Danio rerio: one gene and its partner. The protein of the gene in region 1 purifies or fractionates together with the protein of each later gene. This does not show direct contact. Links are inferred from orthologs where the notes say so. Each region holds a gene or a part of one and is shown in the gene's direction. Other genes may lie near its edges.

Region 1 (3,919 bases):
CGACGACGTTAAAAAGACGTAGTTTCGTCTTTCACTTTCCCACCTGTTTTCCACGTTGTTTGGACGTCTGACAATGTCGTCTTTTCGACGTCTATTCGACGAACTATTGCTGGGTGGGGAGCTCATCTGTTTGTCGGAACTACTAGACACAATTTTTTTTATCAACTATAATGTGTTTAATTAGTTAATTTAAAATTCATTTCATTATTCCAGCAATAATTGTTGAGTGAAAGAATGCGCTAGAAATTTGCATTGCGGCTCCCTTTATTGTACAGGCTTATTGCACTTAAACTTTTTTAGGTTCGGCTCTCGAATTAGTAAGGTTATGAGTAAATGTTATTTAAAATATTTAAAGCCTGCCATCTAGCCTACAATAACAGCAAATTTAATAATAGAAAAAAATAATAAGACAGGCCTACTTTGGCGTTGCAATAAAATAGTATTAATTATCAAAAAAATAATTACAATATATAATTAAAATAGGAAGAAGTAAATGAAAACAAATGGTACCCTTTGTTTTTATAGCAGGGCCCAAAGTGTTCTTATTCTGGTTCTGCTAACAACTATTAAAAAGAAAAAAAACACACCAAACAATAAAAACACTAGTAACTGATATTAATAATAATAATAATTATTATTATTATAAAGCCCTATTATATTATTATAAAGATTGTTATGAAACAATCATGTAAACCAGGTGCTCCTCGGAAATGGCTATCTTTGCTCTGCATCAGGTGCACAGCAGCAAGAAGCTTGGCAGTGAACTATGACCTTATTTTAATGACAAATGTCTAAGAATACTGCTTTACGTTTTTATTTAATTTATACATACGCAATGAATGTAAGCCTGCTAACTGTGTGTGGTTCAAATGATAGAATATGTAAACTTAGTTAATATATAATTAAATAATAATAATTAAAAGCCTGCGTGTAAGGCTTTTATTTTGAGGGTGACGTCACGAGCGCAGATTTGGTTGACCAATTAGAGGAAAGTGGGCGTTTCAGCACCGCCTACATGTGTAAAATGAATTTTAAAGTCGTTTATCCGTTTTCCTACCCTAAACCAAAAAACGAAAATCCAGCCAAAATCTCGTTTTTTCGTTTTCTCGTGAGCAAAAGGAAAAACGGCCGTTTTCTCCATTTCCTTTATTCCGTTTGAAAATGGAAAACAAATGAACAAAACGTACACGGACCGTTCTAAAACAACAAGTTTTGTACATTTAGTTTTAAAGGTTTAACTAAATAAATCGATCAAAAACTTGAAGAAAAAAACTAAGGTTAATGAACATTTCAACCGTCTATGCCCTTAAATAGACAGTGAAAGAATAATTCAACTAATGCGATTATCAATTTAAAACTTGAAAAAATATAAAAACAGAAAAAACACACACGTTTATCCCTTTTTTCTCCCTTCACGCTTAAACTACATTTCCCATGATTCCTTCTGCTCTTTCTACGGTCTAAAGCGTGAATGATTACGGTAAGTGATGTGAGCTGAAATAGTCATCTTCTTTCAGTTTAGAATTGTTTGTCAATAGTTTGCCAAGCTTACTAAAATAAACGATCTTCACGGTTCATTATCCTGACGTTTGTCACTGTTTAAGACCCAGAATTTAGAGCTACTAGGCTAATTAGCATGTAGCTGCTAAACAATAACGTTATGGTGTTGAAGCAGGCGTCGCTGAATTTCTTGAAATTACGAAATACACAACACGACGGTAAACGTTCAAGTAAAGTGTACTGTGTATGCAGATATAATACTGCAATCATGGGCTTTTGCAACGTTAGGTTCCTTAAAACATAGCATTTGAGCTTTCTCAGAGTCAAAATATATATGAAGAGTTGAATAGAACTACCACAACTCAACTAGGTTAACCCATCGATTTCTAATGAACATACATTATATATGTAACGTTAACGTTAATAAGTGTGTAAATTAACTTAAGCAGCGCGTGTAACGTGTTTCCAGGCAACGAGAAGCCGGTGATGTGAAGATGCTGAGGAGGAAACCAACGCGCCTCGAGCTCAAGCTGGACGACACGGAGGAGTTTGAAAGTGTCAAGAAAGAGCTGGAGGTAAAATTTTGGACTTGTCATCGTGTCTTAAACATGTGTCATAAATAGTTGCTTCAATTTACTGTACACACATAAAGACATGTTCCTTCATCCCAGTGGGGACTCTCATAGACCCCTTAATGATGGTTCTACTGTACAAACAGTAGATTCTATCCCCCTACCCCTAAACACAACCCAATTTATCTGTACTGCATGTCTTTGGACTGTGGGGGAAACCGGAGCACCCGGAGGGAACCCACGCGAATGCAGGGAGAACATGCAAACTCCACACAGAAACGCCAACTGAACCATGGTTCGAACCAGCGACCTTCTTGCTGTGAGGCGACAGCACTAGGTCTGGTGCGACTGCTTCGTCCGAGGACAGGATTTTCCCGAATGTAATTCTATAAATTTGATGGGAGTAAACCCAATATAGAAATGTAAACAGAGATACGCTAGTGCTTGAGCCTACAAATGGACAAAGCAGTAAAATTAGTTATAAATCTTAGTGCAGCATGGTAAACAGTGTCCAGTGCATGCAGACTAGAAGACGAAGCATACATATAGATAACATCAGCGTAGTCCAATATCAACATAAATGTTGCATCAACCAGCTTTTTTGTAGCATCAAAAGTAAAGTTGTATTGGAGTTGTTCTACAGCTGATTTTGATAGACTACAGTTATGTGTTAGTAACCACAGCGAAAATATATTTCTGCTAAAAACATTATCAATTATGATTAAGTTATGATAATGATATTATTAGGTTATGAAAATGATACTTTAGTCCCTGCTCTCCCCTACTTAATTAAAATAAAGCAAAAATTCTTAGTCCACCACTGCAAATCAGTCAGTAATAGTGTGATTTCTTCATCATTCTTTTTCTCATTTAAAAGCAAGCATGTAAGCAAATCTTACAGAAAGTAAGAAGCTTTCTATAATCTCATGTTACTTTCCCCACATGTGTTAAGAGTCGGAAGAAACAGAGGGATGAGGTGGATGTCGTCGGTGTCGCCACATCCAGTGAGATGAGCGGAGCGGCAGGTGGCACTGCTGATGGGAAAACCAGAGAGCAGATGATTCACGAGAGAATTGGATACAAACCCCACCCCAAGCCTAACACGTTACCATCGCTCTTCGGAAACCTTCAGTTTTGACAAGTGCCAATCCTGAACAATGGACTATAAGGTCTTGAGAATCTGTAACACAGACACGTACGTGCACACAGAATATATTCTGCATCAATCTTGCCAGATTAGAAATGGACATAAAATTATGGCTTTGGTTAACGGTGTTTGTGATAACTGATTTCAAATGACTATTTTTCTATTGAAATAAATAAAGCCTTTCTAGTTGGATGTGGAAATGGTGTGTAAATGTGATATTGGCAGAATTATATTTTTGATAATACCGATTAGGGCGCAACGATTATAAATTTTGGTTGTACGATTATAGTATTAGAAATAATCACGTTTATCATGATTATTTGCATTCATTGATCCCAAAACCCCATTAGTTTATAAATAGTTTAAAACGGTTTTAAATTTTGTTTTATATATTGTGCCCAACTAAATATTTGTTGCTGGTTTAATCGTTTAATTTTATTTAAGTGCATATAAAAAATTCAGTGGATATTATTGATGCATTATTTGGTAAAACTGCTCATTCAATGTGTTTTTGGTCATTATCAATGCACCGGTAAAATAGACCCAGCGGCGAAACCACGACTGCTTGCATGATGCTCATGCCTCGTGTTGACGCACTGCTTCTGCATGCAGTATGAAAGCTCTAATCTGTTAACATGGATGCGAAAAAAAACACTCTCTGGTCATGCCTGCGGTGTGAAACAGGCTTGAGTCTTTCACC
Region 2 (3,500 bases), on another chromosome or scaffold:
TACATGCAGGTGAGTCTGCGTTGCAGAAATGAGGTGAAATCAATTACCAAAGGCATTCAAATTATAATGGCAAGTAGTGGAAAATGTTTTTGTTTGTTCTCACAGAAGATATTTTTGTCTGTTTAATTAGGCGGAGAGGATTTTTTCAGAAGTCCGACGTATAGAGAGCTATCGAGTAGAGGGTATGGACATCTACTCAACAACACTTTGGCATTTACAAAAGGATGTGGCACTTTCTGCCCTATCTAAAGACCTCACTGACATGGACAAAAACTCACCTGAGGTAAGTTTATCAAGGCAGTAATGCAATTATTAGTTGGAATATTATTCAGTTCAGTAAATCAGCTGCTTATCTTTTTGTTTTTCCACCTCTTTACAGCCCTGGTGTGTAGTTGGTAACTGTTTCAGCTTACAGCGGGAGCATGACATCGCCATTAAGTTCTTCACACGGGCCATCCAGGTGGACCCCAGCTTTGCTTACGCTTATACACTATTAGGGCATGAACTGGTTCTCACAGAGGAGCTGGAGAAAGCCCTGGGTTGCTTCCGCAATGCTATACGCCTCAATAAACGTCACTACAATGCCTGGTATGTTTGTTACTTTACATGACACCAAAAAAAAACCATTAAATAAGTCGTTCACTCACAATCATTTTACTTATCCAGTTGTCTGACAGATAAGTACCATCTGCTATTTCAGAAGCAAAAAGACTTCATCTTTCTGTCTCTTACCACAGGTATGGCTTGGGAATGATTTATTATAAGCAGGAGAAGTTTAATCTAGCCGAGATTCATTTCAAGAAAGCTTTTAGCATCAATCCTCAGAGCTCTGTGCTACTCTGTCATATCGGAGTGGTGAGTAAATCAGCCTTTATGTACTTTTTGGTTATGCATAAAACATAACATGATAATCACTGTTTAAAATTTCTGATAGGATTTTTGCTGTGCTGCATCTTCATATTGTTTCTCATGTACTCTGTCAGGTTCAACATGCTTTGAAGAAATCAGACCATGCACTGGAGACCCTTAACAGAGCCATTAGCATCGACCCTAAGAATCCGCTATGCAAATTCCATAGGGCCTCAATTCTGTTTGCCAATGAAAAGTACAAGGTACTGCTCTACTTGTACTATAATGTTAGGTGCAGTGAGTGATTTCTGAGAAACTCTGTTATATTTGAAATCTGACATCAAAGCAAAAATACACCGCCCCTTAATACTTAAACATGCAAAACAACAGGCAACCGCTACTGCAGAGTGAACCATATGCAGTTTAATAGTTCTTTACGATTGTTGCTCGTCAATCTATTCACCTTATTCTACGTGTATGAGCGAGCACAGCCGTTTGAATCTTTTTGGCTGGAGACTGCTGGTCTCATTCACTTCCATTCATTTTTGTGACATTAAAAACCGTTCTTTCTTCTGCTTGATGTTGCAAACTGATCTTTTTTTGTTTTACTATTCTGCTTCGTCCGTGTTGTCATGAACATACTTGCTTATAGAGGACCGTTTATTTGCCGTTTATTATTCCTAGTCATTTCTCCGATAGACGACTGAATCAGAAGTTCTTAAACAATCGCAAAAACGAGTGCACTATCACATTTAAGAATAGGGTCAATATCAGGGGTGCTCAAACGTTTCCTATGCATGGCCAAAACCAAACATAATTGACCCTTCGCTAAGCCCTGCCCAATAACTGCCACCCACCAATCGTGGCTTAGCAACTGTAGCTACGCGCAGGGGCTCTGTCAAGTTTTCGAGCGAGTGCATATGGATTGTGCAAATCTGATACCCGGTATCCTTAGAGTTTGGACTGGGCGGTGGAATTTTTCCCCTTTTCAAAACCTAAAATCCAAAAGGAGAAATACTAGCGTGGATCAAGCAGTGTGAGGGGCACTAAAAGAGCAGAGCTAAGTTGATTTTGTTTTGATATTCCTGACACATTCAGTGACAGACAGACGGCAATAACTCACAAACCTCTTACCCTAAACAGAACTAAACTGTGTTTCCTACAAAAACACAAAGCTGGTTATGTTTCACAGCTTTCTTATTCCTTTTTTTTTTTTGCTCTATTGTGAGTAATGCTCCGTTTAAGCCTTCGCCATAACGTTAGTAACTTAGTCATAATAGCGAATAAGTCATAATGACAAGAGTTATTGATTCGGAAAATACAAATCTGCGAATCTGTTGCTAACTTTACTGAACGTCATATTTCCATCTGTTTCAAGCTATGAATATTAGAAATGACAAATTAGCAGAACAAAACCGAGATATGATCACAAACTGAGCAGCAGATCAATATACTTTACCCGCAGCTGCTGTTTTTCAGTCATTTATAAAGAGCACACAAACATACTGACAGTAATAGGTAACTTATTGTTATGAGTCAATGATGCTAATATTCGACACAAATCCATCAGTTTCCCTTTCTGGCTGTTCTTTCTATGAATGAACTATGTAAAAGCACTGTCATGCATGTTTCTTCATCGGTTAGTAACTCCATTTCATTGCACAACAATTAATCCATCAGGCTTTTTGGCTAAAAATAGAGAAATCACGGTTTAATTTGTTATTATTAGATTATTTTTAGATTTCCCCTCTCCTGCTGAGCATGAGCTAAGCTGTTAAATGGTCAGCGTATGAGGTGGCTAGGCTAAGCTAGCTTCAATTTTAATTGATTTATTCTCTAATCGGTTGCCTATTATGTGGTGAATATACCCCTGTAATGCATACTGCAGTCCTTTATTGTCTGGCTTTCTCGGATATCTCACCTGTTCGCCAAAAATAACATTATACCCCTGGCAATGATTGACACCGGCGCACACATTGAAAAAGCTGTGCCAGGCACGAAAGCTTGACAGGCGTAGCAACAGTAACTAAGGAGGGGGGGCTTAGCGAAGGGTCCATTGAGAGCTGTGGGCGGAAGGTCAATCTAGCAAACTCTATTACAAAGTTGCCATAGGTAATTTTCTTTTTTTTTTATGTATATTTATAATACTTATAGATGGAAATTACTTAATCATGTATAATCATATGAGGTTAACTATTGCATTATAATTTTGTATATTTTATAATTAACGTATCCCTATGAAAAGAAACTATTCCATTTACAACACCATGGCTTTCAGTGCACATTTAAATACTCTGACCCATTCACAACATTCAATTGAAACATTTAATTCAAGCTTGTTTTTTTGTAGCATCACAATAAAACAAACAAAAGCTTATATTAAATTACAAAAGACAATCTCTATTAAAGGCAATTCCTCCTCCAACCCTTAATTTGGGATGGCGGGCCAAATCAAAGGTTATCATGGGCCAACTTTTGCAGATCCTAGTTTGGGCATCACTGGTCTATATGAATAGTTAACCAGCTTTAAGTCATGATACACTGTGGGATCTCAGTTGCTAAACAGTTGCCACAAACTCCAATACTTTCAAGACCCCCTTGTCTTCAAAAGAAAATTGAGAAAAAAAACAAATGTTTTGGAAAAAAAAATT

Evidence for each region. Proteins that work in one complex are often made in the same cells at the same time.
Region 2: the proteins of cdc26 (region 1) and cdc27 purify together in Homo sapiens (affinity purification with mass spectrometry; 12 studies listed by BioGRID and IntAct, with this or other methods). This does not show direct contact. The link is inferred for Danio rerio from reciprocal best matches to the Homo sapiens genes CDC26 and CDC27.

The regions. Positions count from the first base shown.
Region 1 is NC_133180.1:62,620,792-62,624,710, reverse strand, and holds cdc26 (anaphase-promoting complex subunit CDC26), read left to right. Parts: upstream 1-1,420; 5' UTR 1,421-1,480; intron 1,481-1,969; 5' UTR 1,970-1,994; coding exon 1,995-2,075; intron 2,076-3,024; coding exon 3,025-3,210; 3' UTR 3,211-3,419; downstream 3,420-3,919. UniProt on the Homo sapiens protein: Component of the anaphase promoting complex/cyclosome (APC/C), a cell cycle-regulated E3 ubiquitin ligase that controls progression through mitosis and the G1 phase of the cell cycle.
Region 2 is NC_133178.1:20,785,965-20,789,464, forward strand, and holds part of cdc27 (cell division cycle protein 27 homolog), read left to right. Parts: coding exon 1-9; intron 10-130; coding exon 131-283; intron 284-379; coding exon 380-588; intron 589-737; coding exon 738-855; intron 856-983; coding exon 984-1,112; intron 1,113-3,500. UniProt on the Homo sapiens protein: Component of the anaphase promoting complex/cyclosome (APC/C), a cell cycle-regulated E3 ubiquitin ligase that controls progression through mitosis and the G1 phase of the cell cycle.